Macaca fascicularis: one gene and its partner. Each later gene encodes a partner of the first gene's protein in a complex. Links are inferred from orthologs where the notes say so. Each region holds a gene or a part of one and is shown on either strand. Other genes may lie near its edges.

What was found.
Region 2: the proteins of S100A4 (region 1) and MYH9 are in contact, whole or in part, in an NMR structure (PDB 2LNK), measured with the Homo sapiens proteins. The link is inferred for Macaca fascicularis from reciprocal best matches to the Homo sapiens genes S100A4 and MYH9. Residues at the interface, in NP_002952.1 of Homo sapiens: Leu38, Ser44, Phe45, Leu46, Gly47, Lys48, Arg49, Thr50, Asp51, Ala54, Phe55, Lys57, Leu58, Asn61, Leu62, Ser64, Gln73, Glu74, Cys76, Val77, Phe78, Ser80, Cys81, Ile82, Met84, Met85, Cys86, Glu88, Phe89, Phe90; in NP_002464.1 of Homo sapiens: Thr1906, Ala1909, Met1910, Glu1913, Val1914, Ser1915, Leu1917, Lys1918, Lys1920, Leu1921, Arg1922, Asp1925, Leu1926, Pro1927, Phe1928, Val1929, Val1930, Pro1931, Arg1932, Met1934, Ala1935.

The regions. Positions count from the first base shown.
Region 1 is NC_088375.1:107,612,107-107,622,610, forward strand, and holds S100A4 (protein S100-A4), read left to right. Parts: upstream 1-5,454; 5' UTR 5,455-5,505; intron 5,506-6,489; 5' UTR 6,490-6,504; coding exon 6,505-6,645; intron 6,646-7,377; coding exon 7,378-7,542; 3' UTR 7,543-7,676; downstream 7,677-10,504. Other genes in the region: S100A3 (protein S100-A3), read left to right, coding at 2,762-2,902, 3,401-3,565. UniProt on the Homo sapiens protein: Calcium-binding protein that plays a role in various cellular processes including motility, angiogenesis, cell differentiation, apoptosis, and autophagy.
Region 2 is NC_088384.1:15,396,526-15,406,077, reverse strand, and holds the end of MYH9 (myosin-9), read right to left. Parts: intron 8,986-9,552; coding exon 8,897-8,985; intron 8,814-8,896; coding exon 8,690-8,813; intron 8,366-8,689; coding exon 8,157-8,365; intron 7,547-8,156; coding exon 7,438-7,546; intron 7,301-7,437; coding exon 7,128-7,300; intron 5,897-7,127; coding exon 5,779-5,896; 3' UTR 4,391-5,778; downstream 1-4,390. UniProt on the Homo sapiens protein: Cellular myosin that appears to play a role in cytokinesis, cell shape, and specialized functions such as secretion and capping. Required for cortical actin clearance prior to oocyte exocytosis. Promotes cell motility in conjunction with S100A4.

The DNA of each region.
Region 1 (10,504 bases):
TCCTCTTTTCTCTCTCACGCTCTTCTAGGTTTTGGGTTCTCTTCCTATGAAACAGGGAGGAGTTTCTCAAGCTCCGGTGTGAAGGAAAGAATAGAGAAGTTACGTGAAAGGTGTCTGTTTCCGGTAATATGGTGGTCTGGGCCCACTCCAGCTAAAAGCAACAAAAAACGCTGCATAGAATTAAATCTTTTCAAAGCCCACAAGGCAGTAAGAAATGAGCAGGCCAAAATCTAAGTCAAAGCAGAATCTGTACTGAGGTCCCCAGTGCCCTGAGGTCATTGGCCAAGCCAAGCCGAACCTGAGCTTTGATCTTGATGGTTTGGGGAGTGAGGAAGACAGAAGTGGAAGCCCAGGGCTCACCCCAGGAGGGGACACAAATGGGTGACCCTTCCATGATACTGAGACCCCAAAAGGCTACACACTCAAGCTAAAAGCCAGAGGAAATCCCATCCTGCCTCGCACAAGACCTCAAGGAAGGTTATTTTGGTGCTGAGCAGAGCAGGGGAAGAAGGAAAACAGCCCTTAAGGAGCTCCAGCCTCGGGCCAGCCTTCATGTGACTCTAGCCCAAATTCATTCCCATCACCTGGGAAAGGCCAGAAAACTCAAGCTTAGATTGCTGGAAGTGCCCCTGTGCTTCAAAGACATCCCACCCGATGATTTCCCCCAGGGAAGCGAGCAGTTCACAGCCAAAAGCTGTGCTCTGGTCAGGCAAGTTCAGACTTCTCATCTGTAAAGGGGAGGCTTAGCCACATGCTCTCCAAGGTCTCCCTGGAATAGAGATTTGTAGGGGTGCAACCTGAGCGAGGCAGAAGTGTGTCCCCACTTGGTATTCTCGGGCCTCTGCAGAGTGAAGAGATGGGGCTGTGATGTGCTGGATAGGCCAGCCTGTCTTCTCCAACTGAACTGGAAGGACTCGGCAGGAAGCTGTCCCCAGTTCCCAACTCTGGGGGAGGGCAGAGGGGGAATGAAAGGGGAGTGGTGTCTGAGCCCAGACTGGCCTTTGATGTGTGCGTGGATAGGTGGGCAGCTGGGGCCTGTAATGGGGCTGCTGAGGGATCCCTGAGGGCATCCTCAGTGTTGACCTACTTGAGTCTCCCATAATTGCTTCCTTCCTTTCTTGGGAGGCTACAAATAGTGAGGCCCTGTCTCTAAGCTCCTACAGCTGAAACACCAGCACCAGCGGTGAGTGCCAGCTGCTTGGGTCCTGCCCTGGGTTGAGTGTCAGGGCAGTTTGGGGGACCCCCAATAGCCAACCTGACTCCTGACCCAGGGTCTGGCATTGGAAGCAGAGAGATGACCACAGGTGGGCCTGACAGGGGGAGGGAAGTCAGATATAGTGGACGCAGAGGTTTCCTTGCACAGTGAGGGGCTGTCGGGGAAGTTTGGACTGGGGGGTGTGTAGAGCTAAGGTCTGCCTTGGGGTGGGAGCACTGGGCTCAAGGTTCTGGTGTTCCCCTTGGTCAGGCCCCTCACTTGCTCCTTGCCTCCTTGCTTTACCTCTGAGGCTGCTCATTTCTCAGGATCATGGCCCTTTCCTCTCCTGGGAACCTGGACACCTTGCTCCAATCCTGGGGTGTTTACAATGAATCGAATTCTGGCAGTGCTTGACACCCCCCACTCTCCTTCCCCTATTTTCCTGCCAGCCTCGACCATGCCAGCCATTTGCTCCCAGCAGGGGCCCAGCAATGGGTAAATCTTCAGGGAGAGTGTTGGCCCTGGCTGTCCTGTGCTGCAGGACTCTCGTCCCGTGGGGGAACCGGGAGTGAGTCACTGGGCTAGCATGGAAAAAACTCTTGCCTTCCTGGCCGCCTTCGGGTTTTCCCAGGCTGGAGGCATCATCCCAGAAGGGCGGTGGAAGGGGAGAGTTGAAGTGAGGGGAGGTGAGCAATTCCAGGAAGGGCTTCCCCTCCAATAGAACAGGGTACCCCTATATAGAGCCTTCCTGTTCAAAACCCCCAGGGGTCAGGAGGGTAACCTCAGGCCAGGCGAGTCTCAGATTGGTAAACACCCGAACTGGTCAACTCTCAAGAGATCATCTGGTTCAGGCTCCTGACTAGGCCTGTGAGGTGGGATGACCCCACCTTATAGATTAGGCCCCGCCCCTGAGACCCAGAGAGACAAATGACTCACCAGGGTTGCACCGCTGGCGAGAGGGAGAGAGGATCCCACGAGTTTTTCTTTTGGATGCAGCTTCCTTGAGTTCAGGGCAGGAGGCAGGATGAGGGGAGTGGTGGTGAGGTGGTGGGGGTGCCTCTCAGACCTGCCCCTCCCTGCTAAGGCCTGGCTTCTCCAAGGGCCTGAGGGCAGAGAAACACAGGGCCAGGCTCTCCTTGTGCAAGTTCCCGCGGGAGGGAGGCTTCTAGGGCATCTCATGGGCTGGGGCAGACTGGGACCGAGCCAGCCCTGGGTGTTGGGGATAAGAAGAGGTGGCAGAGAATCTGGGAGTGCTTAAGGAGCCCCGCAGTGGGGAGTGTGGGTGGTGGGGTGGGATGCTGTCTCTTTGAGGAGTTTGCGGTGATGTTGGGGCAATGAGACCTCCACACGGGGAAGTAATAACAGGACAGCAGGGGGATAAATTAGGAGGGGCTGGTGTGGTCCGGGAGGGCTGCTCAGAGGAGGGGGAGACTGCGAGGCCTGAAGCCTGATGGAGGTTAGGATGGGTCTGGGAACAGTCTCTGAGAAACACAGAGGGCAGAGGTGAGCCGGGGGGGTGGCCTGGAACTCTGCTGTGAGTCACACCCTTGTTCTGTGACAGTAAGGATGGCCAGGCCTCTGGAGCAGGCGGTAGCTGCCATCGTGTGCACCTTCCAGGAATATGCAGGGCGCTGTGGGGACAAATACAAGCTCTGCCAGGCGGAGCTCAAGGAGCTGCTGCAAAAGGAGTTGGCCACCTGGACCCCGGTGAGCAGTTGGAGTGTCTGTCCCCTCCTCGCCCAGTGGGAGGCACTGCCTAGACTCTGCCAAGAGAGACCTGGGGACAAGCATGAGCACAGGACAGCAAGGGGAGGGGGCTGGTTTGTGAGGAGGAAGTGGGAGGGGAGAACTGACATAGCAGAAACCTCAGCTTCCTCATCTATAAAATGGGATGACAATCATCACACCTGCTGCCTTGCAGGGTTGTTGAGAGGACTGAGCGAGAGCACCATGAAGAATGCCTAACACATAGTAGGCACTCAGTAGCAAATAGTAGGTGCTCGATTAATAATCTGAGAGGGCAGTTTTGGGAGGGGATTGCAACGGGTGCATTATCAGAGCAGGGAGGTTGAAATTGGCCCTCGGAAGGGTGTAGTTTGGGGTAGGGTGGGTCCACTTGGGAGAGGAGGGAGGGAGGTGGCGTGTGAGGCTGTTCTGCCCTCCTCATCCTACTCCCCCACTCCTCCCCACCCTTCCCTTGCACAGACTGAGTTTCGGGAGTGTGACTACAACAAATTCATGAGTGTTCTGGACACCAACAAGGACTGCGAGGTGGACTTTGTGGAGTATGTGCGCTCACTTGCCTGCCTCTGTCTCTACTGCCACGAGTACTTCAAGGACTGTCCCTCAGATCCCCCCTGCTCCCAGTAGCCTCTGCTCCAGGGGGTGCGCCAGCTGTTGGGGGCTGGGCATGTCTCCCACACTCCCTCCTACCCTCTCTCCTGTACCCCTTTCAATCTGGACTTGCCCAGGTCTTCCGTGATCAGTTAACCCATTTTACCTAGGAGGCCCAGAGATGTGAGGGCTCCTTTCCCAGGATGCCCAGCAAGTGAGGGGTAGAGCCACTCTGGGCCCCAGCCTGCCTGCTGCACCCCTGCGGCCTCCCTTGTGGATGGGAGGAGGCGGGATCTGCTGTGAGGCCCTCGAGGCTCAGCAGAGCGTGCACCAATGAGACCACGATGGGAAAGGGCCTATTTAACTCCTAATAAAAAACTGGCATCAGCTTGGTTTTGTTTGATTCTTCTCTGAGGACGTGTCTGCTGAGCTCTTTGCTACTTTCTGGCCTTTTCTACTGCAGGAAGGCAGCTGAGGGCAGGGGCAGGGGCAGGGGCAGGGGGCTCCCCCAGGGAAGTTGCAGACCCTGCAGAAATGCAGTGGCCTCCAGGGTCCAGCAGGAGGGCGTGGGGCCAACACAGGGACCCCTGTCCTCCCTTCCTCTCTCTCTCTCTCTCTGGGGTCTTTGAGAGAGGACCACCTGAGTTTCCCCTGGGACTCAGTGCTCACGGTTGGATGACCTGAGGAGGGTGGGGCCGTGGGCACAGTGGGGGTGTTTGTTCCCTGCCCCGGGCTGTGGGAGCCCAGAAAGCAGCACTAATGGGATTAGGGTGTCTGAGGTGTTTACTCCCAGCCAGGAAGTTGTGCCCTGTGTGGAGGGGGAAGGGGATAACTTGAGGCAGCCCCTATCCCTGAAGCCGCAGTCCCCTGAGGGCCTTAACCCCCTACTTCTAACTCTCACTGAGTTTGTAGCCCACCCTGAGAGGTTGGCTCGAATTCTAACTCCCCTATTTCGTGCCATTTCACCTCTAACTCTCCACCCCAACCTGGATTCTTCATTCCTGACACTCATCCCAACTTGAAATGGCCCCTCCTGATACCCTCTCCGAACCTGAGATCTATCCGTGAGCCCCCACGTGTCACTGCCACTCCATACTCCATCACCACCTCACCCAGGACCTTTCCCACTGACGTTCCTGAAGGGGTCCCAGAGCCTCATTTGGGTGTGAACCTGTTCCCCTCCAGATCCCCCAGCCCTGGCCCTGAGCCTTACTTGGCATGGCAGACAGTACTGGGCATGGAGATCCCTGCCCCATTTTTGTTTTTGAGTCTTTATTTTTTTAAGAGACAAGGTCTGCTGTGTTGCCCAGGCTGGAGAGCAGTGGCTTGAGCATAGCCAACTGCAGTCTCGAACTCCTGGGCTCAAACGATCCTCCTGTTTCAGCTTCCTGACTAGCTGGGACTACAGGCTACAGCCACGCTGCCCGTCTAATTAAAAACAAATTTTGTTTTTCCTTTTTATAGAGACAGAGGTCTCACTATGTTGCCTAGGCTGGTCTTGAACTCCTGGCCTCAGGCGATCCTCCCATCCCCCTCCCTAGCTTTTGTGTCACCACATTTCCAGGGCAATCTCCCATCTGTCACCCACCACCCCCTGCATCTTCTTTCCTAGCTCCCTGATGGAACTACTCCCTCCCTGTCCCCCATGCTCCAGACACAGACTACCCCTTCCTCCACCTCTCTAAAACTCAGGCTGAGCTATGTACACTGGGTGGTGCCTATTGCATCCAGGTCCCTGCTGGTAACTGCTGGGGCTTACCCGTTACCCAAACAAGAGGCTTGGTTGCAAGGCTGGGCTGGTGGAGGGTGCTGTGGCACTTAACACATCAGCCCACAGCAGGAAGGCAGTATCCACTCTCCCCTGTCCCCTGCTATGGGCAGGGCCTGGCTGGGGTATAAATAGGTCAGACCGCTGGGCCGTCCCCATTCTTCCCCTCTCTACAACCCTCTCTCCTCAGCGCTTCTCTCTTGGTTTGGTGAGTTGTGTTGGCCTGATTGGCATGCAAGGAGTGTCAGAGGCCAGGGCTGGGGCAGGAGAAGGGGAAGCTGGTGGGGGCTAGATGTGCTAAAGAGATCCAGATGTGAGACTCTGATGTGGAACTCTGGGTAGAGTGTGTGCGTGGGTGTGCATGTGTGTGGGTGTGCATGTGTGTGGGTGTGCATGTGTGTGGGTGTGCATGTGCACACACACGTGCACGTAAGAGGGAGGAAAAAACCAACAGAAAAGCGAGCAAGTGGCTAGATTTGAGCTCTCCAGGTGCTTCCGAGATGTGGGCTTGCACATGCTGTTGCTATAGTATGTGTTGGTATGTATGTGCCCATGGGTATCTGCACTGGCTCATGTTTGCTGGGTTGCGCACTCGGGAGCAGGAAGCAAAGGAAAGGCAGAAGGCAACTGTGGGCGTTCGTCTGGTGGTGTGCCCCATGAGCCTCTGCCCTGCACGCAGCAGCCCAGCTCAAGAAGGAGCGTGGCCTCTGCACCTTCTCTTCCAACCCTTGCCTCTGCCATCTCACTTTGCCCCTCCCTACGCTGAGCACTAAGCAGCTGGTTTTTTCCGCTGCAGGCCCCTGGGCAGGCCTCCAGCAGCCGCACCCAGTGCTGGGAGGGAGAAGAATGGCCAGGGCGGGGCCTTTGTGGCTGAGCCGTGGGAGTGGATAGACTGAGCGAGGGATGGAAAAAATGCTGTTGTTGAGGCGAGGCCTGGGAGGCCCTGGGAGCTTGCTGCCTGAATCTCCAGAGCCTGCGCAGTGGGTTCTGCAAATGTTCACTGCCCAGAGCATGTGTTCCCCACTGTGCACACCCTCCCCGCCAGGTGCTGGGCCCACTGCTCTGGGCTCCCCCAGGGAGGGAGCAGAGTCTCGCCAAGTGATCCTGGAGGGATGGGAGGGGAGCCTGGCATTCTGAACACATCTCTGAGGGGTGGGGTAAATAAGAGGGTCTCTGTGCCTCCTGCTCCCAGATCCTGACTGCTGTCATGGCGTGCCCTCTGGAGAAGGCCCTGGATGTGATGGTGTCCACCTTCCACAAGTACTCGGGCAAAGAGGGTGACAAGTTCAAGCTCAACAAATCAGAGCTAAAGGAGTTGCTGACCCGGGAGCTGCCCAGCTTCTTGGGGGTGAGTGGGTAGTGCTTGAGTGTGTCCCCACGTGGGGCATTTCCCACAGAGGAGGGCAGCAGTCTTGATCTAGAGCATTAGCTACAGAGGGCATCTATCAGTGGGGTGACTGCCTGGGGTGGAAACACATTGAACACCACCGCTCACTGACTGGCCCCATATGCTGAAAGAGGGCTGAGAATGAATGTGTCAGACACTGCCAGATGCTTTGCACAACTTAACTGAAGGGAAGACTAAGCTCAGAGTGCTAAGTAACTTCCCAAGGTGGTCAGCGTACACAACTGCCATCTGGACCAGGACTGTCTGACTCTTGCCATCACGCCAACAGTGGACACTGTTTGAGTTTCTGTTTGGCTTGTAGATGTGAAGACACAGATGTGGAGATGATCACAGGCCTGCAGACATTCCCCTCAAACACTAACAATGTATATTTGTATCAAACATAATACAGTTTACATATTGCTTTCATGACTATTACTACCTCATGGGATTATTAGAGCAACCTTGGGTGAAAATGTAGTGGTTCCGTCATTTTTCCATTGCACCAGGTACTCAGACTTCCTTATCCAAGGAGTACCTTCTCCATCCTAGCTTAGCCTTGAGGGTTGGAGTTCCAAACTGGACCTCCCAAAGGAGCCTCCCTGAACTCTGGTCTGGCAGTAGAAACTGGGTCTGGTCCTGGCTCTCCCTACTGGGCTTCTGTTTTCTATCTGTAGCCTCTTCTCCCTCCAGAAAAGGACAGATGAAGCTGCATTCCAGAAGCTGATGAGCAACTTGGACAGCAACAGGGACAACGAGGTGGACTTCCAAGAGTACTGTGTCTTCCTGTCCTGCATCGCCATGATGTGTAATGAATTCTTTGAAGGCTTCCCAGATAAGCAGCCCAGGAAGAAATGAAAGCTTCTCTGATGTGGTTGGGGGTTCTGCCAGCTGGGGCCTTCCCTGTCGCCAGTGGGCACAGTGCCCCACCCTGGATCCTTCAGACACGTGCTTGATGCTGAGCAAGTTCAATAAAGATTCTTGGAAGTTTTGAGGCTGATGGTTTGAGAGACTCTGGGGGCATGGGTTGGGGGCTGAGAGAGATGTTGTGGGGTGGTGGTGGGGAGAGCTGAAGTTTTATGGAGAGCAAACCAGTGAAGTCAGGGGAGGGATGCAGGATGACTATGAGTGTATGCACAGGCAATAAAGTTCACTCAGTGAGGTCAAAGCTGAGAAGGGGACCCCATAACCACCCCCTTGTCAAGGTTTGGAAAGCTCCAGCTGTGGGATCTCAGCCAGCCCACTTACCCCTCCCACCTCTCTCCAACCTTGCCTCTGACAGGATCTTGAACCGAGGCTGGAATTGAAGGTCACATCTGTTCCTGGCTGGGGTCTGGAATGGAGTTTGGGTGTCCTGGGAGGAAGTCAGAGGGAAAAGAATAAGACTGAGCTGCAGGGAGGAAGTACTTAGGTGACAGTGGGATGGGGAGGAGGGCTGGCACTTAGTGCTGACATTTACAGTCCAGGCTCTATCCTGCCACCCCCTTCCAGATCCCTGGCTTCAAACCACAGGGATGGATTAGTCCTTTCCTGTCTGTGGTAGGATCAGGGAAGGCAATGTGGAGGGAGACCCGGCTGTTTGCAGCAGCATGAGAATATAGGCATTCTCGAATCCACCGTCTCTGCCACAAAGGTCCCTGGATGAGATCTGTTATCAGTCAGGAATCAAGCTCCTTCAGGGAAGGACAGGGGACCTCAGAAGAGATGAGTGGGGGTCAGTGGCTGGGGTGGGAGTGAGGCAAAGGGTGAGAAGGTGACCATAGTTTGGAGACAAAATTCCACATATGTGGAATTTTGATCTGATAAATGAAATTGAGATTATTTCCCCCCCACCCCAGAAAATATGAGGCATGATATTGCTTCCCCTTAAGTAGGTTCAAGGCCAGTGGTTCAAGGGTGCAGTGGTGGGCAGAGGTTAGACTTCAAGGCCCTGCCTGGCTGACACGGGGATCTTTAAGGAAGAAGTGCGTGGAGATCAGGCGCAGAGGCTGGAGGGCTTGGTCCCACTGACCTCCTCTTACGGGTCCTCTTTCCTCTCGTCACGTGGGGCTTTTCTCTCAGGTTTCAGAGGAGTGGGGCAGGTGACTCAGATGTTCCCTCAGGGTTTGACTGCAGAGACTTGGGAGGAATTTCAGTTCAGGAGAAAGTCTGCTGCCTTCCCCTGTCCTCTCCATCCACCCTCCCTGGGAGCACCCTCTCTGCGGCCTCCACCTGCATCACGCTGTCCTTCAGAGATGCCTGCTGCATAGCAACCAATCCCTGCTGCCTCTGCAACCTTGCCAGTTGGTGGTGGGGTGGAGTGGGGAGCAGTGGGAAGGCCTCCCAGGCTGGGGTGGGACTGTAGCAGTGACAGGCGCTACACCCTGAGCCCAGGTCTGTTCTTGGACTGGTGGTAGAAGTACGTTGTTCTACTGTGGTAGAACAATGTCTGAGTGTCTCCTGGGATACAGGGAACTTCCCTGGCCCCTACTCCCTCCTTGACTGCAACCTGAGCCCGAACCCCCCTCCCCAATCCACAACCTCTACCCCAGTGCTGGGCCTTAGCCCTTCGCTGGGTGCCTTTCCTATTCCTGATTCTCAGTCCTCCATGCCAAGAGCCTCCGACAAGCCTTTCCTGCGAAGAGCAGTGAGGCCTAGAAGAAATCATTCATTTAAAAGCCCTTTAAAAACCTCTGGGTCCATATTAGCTCACGACCTTGACCATATCCTTCGCAGAAAATATCTTCCTCCACTGATCCCCATCTCAAGGGCTGTCCTCTCTGCTTCTGGAGTGGGTGGCAAGATGGGTGGGAGGGTCCTGATGCGGAGAGCTTCCTAGGACATGGGGAGATGGTGCCCTCTGTTTGGCCCATACCTCCGAAGTTTTCTTTCCAGGACAACCTGGTTTCCCTTCTTTGGCTTATTGTTCCATCAGATTTCAGATTGTGAGTTCTGATTTTTGGTCAGAAGAATAAAGTTTCTGGGATTGGGGACGTGTGTGCTATGGGAACTCAGTGTGTCCCCAGCCCTTGTTTGTAAACAAGGAAGGTGAGATTGACAGAAGCGGTTTCTCCCCAGCTCCATCCTGGGAGGCTCTGACGTGAGCATCCCCAAGTTCCCAGCCTCTTCCCATGGGCCCTTTCTCTCTCCTGGTTTCCTGGGGACAGAGAGCAGGCGAATAAAGGCAGAAGGCAGTGAGAGGGAGGCTGTGTCTGCTGCCTGGATTCTCTGGGCTCACTCCCACAGTGGTAAGTCCTTCCTTCTTATGTCCCTGTTTGTCTGCTATCTGGTGGATCACACTGGATGGTGAGGGTGACGAGCGGTGGTGACCTCCACCAAGGAGGCCTGGCCCCACAAGCGGGCATGCACTCGGGGAGGAAACGGCAGAGCCTTTGGAACTTCTTGAGAAATGGCTCTGGGGTGGAGGTGGGGGTCTGGACTAGCCAGGATGCTCCTGCAGGTGCACAGAGGCCCTTGCCTTCAACTGCGGCCCCAGTTGAGTCTCCTTGAGGTGGGAGAGGCTGAGGTTTTGGGTGGTGGGAGAGGAATGATGGGTCTGGTTTAAGAATGGCAGGGAGGGCTTTGGGCTGGAGGTGAGGACAGGATTAACCTGCAGTCCTCAAGTTCTGTGGGTGTTGCCTCCTTCCTCCCTGAGGGGGAAGTGGTTTTTAGTCTGAGTCACTTGAGCTCCATCCGTCTCTTCCCTTGGCTGGGGGTGGCTGTGCCATTGGAATCCAGGCCTTTATTCAAGCGTAGCCTCTGGATCCAGGTTTTGGAATGATCCTGGAGATTTCAAGAGGCCCCCTGCTCTCCCTGCCTGCTGGCCTGTCTGTGTGTGCAC
Region 2 (9,552 bases), on another chromosome or scaffold:
CTGCCCAACAAGTGTCTGTTCAACCTTGAGCTAAGGTGACCCTTGTTATTAATTATTGTACCTAGGGATCATTATTTAAAATAACTTACATAAGTCTCCTCATTTTTCCTTTAAAAACCTCTGCTTTCAGCAGGGCGTGGTGGCTCACACCTGTAATCCCAGCATTTTGGGAGGCTGAGGCGGGTGGATCCCCTGAGGTCAGGAGTTCGAAACCAACCTGCCCAACATGGAGAAACCCCATCTCTACTAAAAGTACAAAATTAGCCAGGTGTGGTGGCACATTCCTGTATTTCCAGCTACTTGGGAGGCTGAGGCAGGAGAACTGCTGGAACCTGGGAGGCAGAAGTTGCAGTGAGCCAACATTGCGCCATTGCACTCCAGCCTGGCGACAGAGTGAGACTCGGGGGGCGGGGGAGGAGGAAATAAAAACCCTCTGTTTTCCTTTGTCTCCCCGAGTCTGCCTGTGGTCCCACCATGGGGTGTCTTCACACATCATGTATTCCTGGATTTACAAATCCTTCTGCTCATTCTAGAATAAACTCGTTATCTTCGGAGACTCCCTCTCTGCTGTTATTTTAGGTTGACAATAGACTCCCTGAACGTAATCTCAGAGTGGAGCAACCAGAATGGGGACTGCAGACTCAAATCCAGGTGAGAAATAGGTGTCTCTTAACTCCAGGGACGTGGGACGTGAGCAGAGACCATCCATCTGGAGATTCCAAGGATCTAGTGACTACAAATAGGGCTCAGCTTCACCATCGACACTACAGGAAAAGTCACCCTGGATGTCTGCAGCTCCAGAGGAGGGGGCTTGGGCCAAAATCTTGGGTCCAGACAAAATTTCAGCCACTGAGAAGGCAAACCCAACTTCAGCCACTGAGAAGAAGGCAAACCCTGAAATTGCTTTGGAAGAGGTATGGTGATATCACTACCACCATCTAGTGGAAGCTGGAAGTGTCGACAGCCAAAGGCTCCCAGCCACCACCCCCACCCTGCCCTGCCCAGCCAATGGAGAGGTGTGCTCGGCCAGGTCATGCCAGATGTCATTGTCTGTGTGCACCATGACAGGGACCCCAGCGCCCTGTTCTGCTCTCTTTTTCCAGGGACCCTGGAAGCAGGTGGCGAGCTTCAAGCTGGGCATTTGACAATGGGGGCTTCTGAAGGCATCAGTGGCTAGCGGAGACAAACAGCCTAGGACTGCAAAGTGCAGGGGAAGGGAATTGTGTTTCATGCCCACAGCCCCTGGGGACCCCATAGGAGGCTGAGGGAGCAGCCACTGGTCCCGGCCACTCACAGCCCGGCCACTAGCAGCATCTCATGGACAATCCTTTTTGTCTTTCCTCAGATGGAAAAATTGGGCTCTGAGTAACAGGTGTCAGCTTCAGGGAGGTTTAGAAGTAGGTATCAAAATGACAGACACAGTCAAGCTCATAATATTTTCCCGCTGAAGTCAAGACAAATGTGTGTTTCCTTGTGATGCACATATAACATTTAAGAGAACTGGATTCATTCACAGAGTTAACAGAGTTTTTGGATTCAAATTTGAAATAGGTCACTGAGTAATTGATTTAAATGCAGGATTTCAGGTTGAACTCCTCTCTGAGGGTGCTGCAAATAAGCGTTAGCCCAGGGAGAGGGAGAAGCCTCTAGCTCGGTGGATGTCAAACAGGAGAAGTGAGGAGTGGAAGGTGGGGAGGGTGCTGTGAGCACCCACAGCACCAGGATCTCTGGAACATGCACCAAGGAGCACCACCAACCTCTATCCCCTTCCCTCCAGCAGCCAGGAGACAAAGGAGACTCTTGTCTGGAGTCATTGCTGTGCCAAAACATGACCTTAAACATAATAGCATCTTGGCTGAGCGCGGTGGCTCACACCAGTAATCCCAGCACTTTGGGAGGCTGAGGCGGGAGGATCACCTGAGGCCAGGAGTTTGAGACCAGCCTGGCCAACATGGTGAAACCCTGTCTCTACTAAAAACACAAAAATTAGCCGGGCATGGTGGTGCGCACCTGTGGTCCCAGCTACTTGGGAGTCTGAGGCAGGAGAATCATTTGAACCCGGATGGCAGAGGTTGCAGTGAGCTGAAATCACGCCACTGCACTCCAGCCTGGGCGACAGAGCGAGACTCCATCTCAAATTAATTAATTAATTAATTAATAGCACTTAGCTGCTGTGGAAAACCATATGGCAGTTCTTTGAAAACTTAAACATGGAATTACCATAGGATCCCTCAATTCCACTTCTGGGGATACACCCGACAGCATGAAAACAGGGACCTGACCAGATGTTTGTACAGCCACGCTCATAGCAACATCGTTCACCATAGCCAAAAGGGGGAGGCAACCCAGGTGTCCATTGACAGATGAATGGATAAGCAAAATGCGACGTGTACACACAGGGAATATTATTCAGCCTTAAAGAGGAAGGAAACTCTGACCCATGCTACAACAGGGCTGAACCTTTAAGGACATTCTGCTAAGTGAAATAAGCCCGTCACAAAAGGACACATGCTGTAGGATTCCATTCATGTGAGGTTCTTACGGTGGTCAAATGTATAAAGATAGGGAACAGAGTGGTGGTTGTCAGGGGCTGGGGGAGGGAGAATGAGGAGTTAATGTTTACTGGGTACAAAGTGTCAGTTTTGCAAGAGAAGAGTTCTGTCGGTGATGGTAGTTGCGCAACAATGTGAATGTAATTCCACTGTATACTTAAAACTGTATACTTAAAAATGGTTAAAAAGGCAAATTTTAGGTTATAAATATTTTACCACAATTAAAATATTTTAAAATCCTTTCAAAGCCCAACCTTTGCAGAATAATAATAATAATAATAATAATAGCACCTGAGTCCTTTTTGGTTTGCAAAACATTTTCACACACATAGTCATACATGCTTCAACAACGGCCCTGTGATAAAAACATTTATTAATTTGGCTTCCCAGAGGAGAAAACTAAGGTTCAAATGGGGTGAAATGGCCAGGTGCGGTGGCTCATGCCTGTAATCCCAGCATTTTGGGAAGCCCAGGCAGGTGGATCTCCTGAGGTCAGGAGTTCAAGACCAGCCTGGCCAACATGGCAAAACCCCGTCTCAACTAAAAATACGAAAATTAGCCAGGTGTGGTAGAGTGCACCTGTAGCCGCAGCTACTCAGGAGGCTGAGGCACGAGAATCACTTGAACCTGGGTGGCACAGGTCGCAGTGAGTCAAGATCGCACCACTGCTCTCCAGCCTGGGTGACAGGGACTCTGTCTCAAAAAAAAAAAAAAAAAAAAAAAAAAGGCCAGGTGCAGTGGCTCACGCCTGTAATCCCAACACTTTGGAGGTCAGGAGTTTGAGATCAGCCCGACCAACATGGTGAAACCCATCTCTACTAAAAATACAAAAATATTAGTCGGGCGTGGTGGTGTGCACCTGTAGTCCCAGCTACTCAGGAGGCTGAAGCAGAAGAATCGCTTGAACCTGGGAGGCGGAGGTTGCAGTGAACTGAGATTGCGCCACTGCATTCCAGCCTGGGTGACAGAGTGAGATTCCATCTCGGGGGAGGGAGAGAAAAAAAAAAGATTCTGACAAAATGCCGTGAAGATCATCTGTAGATCTTGTTAAAGTGGAGTCACATTCAGAGGGTTGGGGGCGGGGTCTGAAATAGTCTCTAAGCAGGTTCCACATGGAGCCAATGCTGTCGGTGCAAGGACCGCCATCCAGCAGCAAAGATCCAGTGTACTTTACTTAATAGACAAGGAAGCTAACCGGGAAGGGAGTGACTTGTCCAGGGTGACAGGCCAGGGTGGCACATAGGAAGCTAATGGCCAGGGAATGTGCATGCAGCTGTTTTGCCAAAAATTAGCCACCTCCTTAAGCTGACCCAGATAAGTGTCCACCTTTTTAAAATTATTATTTATTTTTTTGAGACAGAGTCTCACTCTGTCACCCAGGCTGGAGTGCAGTGGCACAGATCTCCGCTCACTGCAACCTCTGCCTCCCGGGTTCAAGCGATTCTCCTGCCTCGGCCTCCAGAGTAGTTGGGATTACAGGCACGCACCACCCCGCCCGGCTAATTTTTTTGTATTTTTAGTAGAGATGGGATTTCGCCATGGTCTTGAACTCCTGATCTCAGGTGATCCCTCTGCCTCGGCCTCCCAAGTGCTGGGATTACAGGCGTGAGCCACCGTACCCAGCCTTGAACCAAGGTTTCTAAGATGCTCTCAGCCTCCTTGGATCTGGCCTAGCACACCTTTCCATCTTATCTTTTCTGCACAACCGCCCACAGCTAGCCCAGCCTACGCCTCAGCCAGTCTGGCTCCCTGACGATGCAGAGCCGGCACCGGCTGCAGGAGCCAGGCCCAGTCCTGTCCAGGGCCCCCTGGCCGCAGACAAACGCTACAGACACGGCTGGTAGCACATGGTTCTCTTTATTGTGATGCTCCATGGAAAACATCCGTAAACCAGCTTACTGTAGTGGTGACAGCCGCAACACATGCTAAGGCACTTTTATTATATAAAAAAGGGGTGGGGTGAGAGTTTCACTCACTCCTTTGTGACAGCAACTGGGACCTGAATTCAGAGCTTTGTAGGCATTACACAGCTTTTATATCGCTTCGTGATTTGAGAGTTTGTTTCCTTTTAAAAAAAAAAAATGCCTTCTTGCCATAAGTCTCAATGCAGCATATACAAAAGTTAGAAATACAAGTAAATTCGGCAACCAGTGTAGACCAGTGAGGACGAGCTAACTCTCTTATAAACAAAGGCAGTGAGAAAGACTCAGAATTTTATCATTTATTACGAGAAAGGGGAAAAAAAGAAAACCTTGTTTTGCTTTCAAAAATATCTGTGCAGGTGGCAGATTTTTAAACTATACGAGTCAACGGTGCAGGTAAAGGACCCTCGGGCCCAGTCCTAGAGTAGACACGAGATCGCCTGGCAGGGCTGCTGGCCCCTCTAACGCTCTGGCTGTCATACTTGGGACAAGTCCCTTAACCATTAAATATATTTGGTCCCCAAAAGTGTTGGGAGAAGCCACTGGAAGGCTGCTGGCCTTCCCTGCTTGACCCCGGCAGCCTTGCTGTGGCAGAGGCAGGCTGTCCTCGGTAAAGGAGGGGAGGGGGCATTGCACTTGAGACATTTTAGAATCAGGAGGGAGACAGTGGACAGGGGCGCTGCCTGGGACAGGGTGGGGAGGAATCCACTCCTCCCCCCACCCCAGCATTCTGTGCCCTGCACAGAGGTGGAGCCCCAGAGCCTGCTCCTTCCGGACCGCCCAGAGCCACGGGAGTGGGAGGCCCAAGGGGCAGAGGTGTGTGAGGTCACCACGTGTGATTGCCAACAGCAAAGAAAGGAGGAGTGGGGGCGCTGGTGGCAGAGGTCAGGGAGGCTGACAACTGCGGGGGTTCCGACTACCAAAACACCTTCAGTCTGAAGAAAAATAGATTCATAGAAACTCTGGCCCCTCCCCGGGGGCCTGCCCTCCTCGCCTCAACATCTTGTGCTTTTTGGCAAGAGGGGGATGAGGAGCCTGCTGGTCGCTCTCTGCCTGGGCCCGGGCCCTGTCTCTTTGGTATCAGATTCTGAGCGGGGGAGGGAGCTGGAAGGGGATGCAGCAGAGGAAGCCAAATGCCCTCAACAACACCTGGAGGGAAACAGGATGGGGGCACGGGGCTGAGGGCAGGGGGAGGCGCGTTCACAGCAGTCCCAAGAAGGTGGGGAGAGGCCTGCTGCAGGGTCTGGAAAGGGGAGGCTGTGGTGTCCGTCTGTCCATCCATCTCAGGCTGCAGGAGAAGAGGCTTATTCGGCAGGTTTGGCCTCAGCCCCATCCGCTTTGCCATCCACCTCCTCGTCGGAACCATCGCCAGCGCCTTTCCGGGCCATTCGGCGGGGCATGACAAACGGCAGGTCCCCGCGCCTGGGGGCAGAGGCAGAGGCAGAGGGTCAGTGGGCACAGACAGGCCAGGGGTGGCCGCAGCACAGCACACACATCTCAAAGCGAATTCGAGAGGGAAACCAGGCGCCTGGCTGCTCCCACCAGGAAGAAGCAAGGCGGAGCCTTGGGAGCCACAGGTGAGCTGGACAGGACCGCTCTCAGGAAAGCAGGCAAAGCTTCCCGCAAAATGTTTCGGTGTCAGACATCTTCACACACAACCATAGCACAAAAACAGTTCAGGCAAACAGGACCAATTACAACAGGAAAGGCACAGAAGTAAGTGTAAAATGCCACCCTCTGTTGCAACTCCTATAAAACCGGTGAAACCAAGACAGGTAAACAGGTGTGCTTGTTCACACAGAGTACAAAGCCGGGCACCCTCTTTCTACCACATGGCAGAAAATTCATATCCAATACTGACTCCTTATGCTTAAAAAAAGAGCACCATGAAGGCCTGGCACAGTGGCTCACGCTTGTAATTTCAGCACTTTGAGAGGCCGAAGTGGGTGGGTCACCTGAGGTCAGGAGTTTGAGACCAGCCTGACCAACATGGTGAAACCCCATCTCTACTAAAAATACAAAAATCAGCTGGGCATAGTGGTGCATGCCTGTAATCCCAGCTACTCCAGAGGCTGAGGGAGGACAATCACTTGAACCCGGGAGGAGGTTGCAGTGAGCTGAGACTGCATCATTGCACTCCAGTCTGGGCAACAAGAGTGAAAATCCATCTCAAACAAACAAACAAACAAACAAACAAGATCCCCATGAAAAAGAGGTAAGAAATGAGAATCTCAGAGAATAAGATCCTCTGCTTCAAACATTCACTACTTGTTGAGTGTTAACACTCCCTGGGAAATGCAAAGGAGCCTTTTTAACCTCTGTAGACATTGTTTATGAGGCCCGTATTCATTTTGTAGATATTTATGAGGCACCTAATATGTGCCAGGACTGGGCCAGGTGGCCTCAAGCAACTTCTAATTCAAAAGACAACAGACTTTTAGGACAGGCTAGGAATAAACTACCTAGAGTTTACTGTGTGTTGAAAACACTAAGCTGAAGCCTCAAAGGCAAGAAGTCAGAAGGGGCAGAGATTGCTTTGTGCAGTCCTTTCTTGGTGTCATTTGTGGTTTGCTTGTGGGCTGTGATTGAGGAACAAGCTACCTTTTGAGAGAAGTGCCGAGGCAAAGGGGTGGGTTGGGCGGTGGGGGCTCACCTGAGCTTGTTCTTGAGGGAGCTGACCTCGCGGTTCATGGCATCGGCCGTCTCGGTGGCGTCCTCCAGCTCGCGCTGCAGTTTCCGGCGGGAGGCGTTGGCCCGCTGGGCCTCCTCTTCCGCCTCCTCCAGCTGCCGCTTGAGCTGCTTCAGGCGGGTGGATGCCTTGTCGGCCTGTGGAGATGGACGTGTGGCCCGTGGTCCTGGTTAGGGGCTCTGGGCGTGCAGCCAGCCAGCCTCACTGCCCTGCCTGTTGCCCCATCTGCTGCCCAGCCCGGCTGCCCTTCTCACTGCCCCACCAGCGCCCGCACCTGGTCCTTGTACTGCTCGGCGTTCCTCCGCTCATCATCCACCTGCAGCAGCACATCCTTCAGCTTCTTCTCCGTCCGACGCACCTGTTTGCAGGCTGCCTGGCGCTCCCTGCATGACAGACAAGGTGGCTCAGAGGGAACACCCTCCTTCAGAGGGTCCAGCCAACAAACCCTAACATGGACCCCCCGTTCCCCGGGGCTCGCTGGCATCTAGGGATCACCTAGGGAGGCCTTTGCTGGACACCTATGTGTGCCTGGCTTCTTATGATGGGCACTGCAAAAAGCCCCATTTACAGATGGGGAAACGGGCGCAGGTAAGGGAAGTGACACACCTCAAAGGGCATCTGTGTAACTGGAAAGGAGGTTTGGGGGCCTACTGTAACCCCCATTCCCTCCAAGGAAGTCTCAGTCCTGCTGAGCCCACAGAACAACTGCCCGGGTGGGCAGGACCCCCCTCTACCTCCTGCTCTGATTCACCCTCAGAGACAGCCACCAAAGCTCCTGGCTTTCGAGGTGGAACAGAGAATCCCGTTCAAACCCCACAAACTCCCCCAACCACCCAACTGTGGAAGGGATGTGGGCCCCATCAGGAGGGAGGGAAACAGCCCCCAGCACTCAGGAGACAGAGAGCTGGTTGTGGCCCAGATTTGGGCAGGACTGCAAGGGGGCTGGAGTTTTTGCCAGGACGGCTGGAGTTGGGCGGGGTCAGGGGCACGTACTTGGTCTCGTTGTCCAGCTGCTCCTCCAGCTGTGCGATCTTGGCCTCGAGGGCAGTGATGGAGGCCTTGTACTTGGACTTGACAGTGCCCTCCATCTCCTGCAGCTTGACCTTGAGCTCCTTGTTCTGGCGCTCCAGCTGCTGCCGAGCATTCTCGTTCTTCTGGGCGTGGCTGCGCTCCAGGTTCAGGTCGGTGTTGATCTGGTCGATCTACAGAAGGAGGGCCAGTGACCTCGGGAAGGGCTGGGGCCCTGGCTGGAGGGCACGAGCAGGGCCGGAGGAAGGTGGCAGCAGGATCTCACCAAACCCTTGGGGTCCAGAGTCGTGGGTCTCCCAGAAAAGGGAGGATTAGAAACTTCTGAACACCCAACACAGAAGCCAGAGGGGACTCTTTCATGTCCAGGTGCCTGGACATGTTCCCGTAAGCACCTGGGGAGCAGCTGGCACTTGGCCTGTGCTTCTGCCGGCTGGGTCTGAGGCCAGCTCTGCCGTGGTGGCTCCAGAGCCCAGGGTAGGAGAAGGCCTGGCACCCACCTGCAGGTTGGCCTTCTTCAGCCGGTCGTTGATCAGCTCCGTGTTGCCCTGCTCCTCCTCCAGCTCCTCCTCCAGCTGGGCGATGCGGGCCTCCAGACGCCGCTTCTCCTCCAACGCCAGGGCTCTGTGGGGTGGGTGGGAAAAGTGAGGGGCCTACCCCGGGGGCACAGCTGGTCCCCCTCAACTCTGTCCCCTCACTCAGCTCACCCTTTGCCACTGCTGTTGGCGATCTCATCAGCCAGCTCATCCCGCTCCTGCTGGGCCTGGCGCTTGGCACGCTCCGCGGCTGCCAGTTCCTGCCACAAAGACCCAGAGTGTGACCTGAAGGCAGCCACAGCCCTGCAAGACCATCCTTCCCAGCCCCGGGCACCCTCCTCTCAAGCCCTTCCCCAGGCCCACCTCCCCCAGGAAGCCCTTCCTCCAGAAACCCTCTAGCTCACAGGCTGGTGCCCCCCTGCAGTCATAGCTTAAGCACCACATGTTTCTAAAACTCTTACATTTAAGTGCTAGGAATCAAGCCAGGTGCCAGGGTGTGGCGATAAGAAGTGTCCTGGCCTAACCAGGGAGACCATGTGGACAGAGGTACTCGGTGCGGCCCCTCCCTATTTGGGTGAGCCAGAGCCCGGAGTCAGCTCCGGAGGCCACAGGCAGATGGCTACACCCTGGTCGCACTCGCAGCCAGCACATCATACTGCAGGGCACCCTCCAGAGCCAGGAAACACTTCAGGACAGGCTCAGGTGAGACGGGTAGGGTGGCCTCCCAGACCCCTTCTCACCAGGCACCATTCATAGCAGGAGGTGGTGGCAGCCACAAAGCCTCATCTCATGTGAGGCATGCCAGTTTCACACACACACACTCTCAT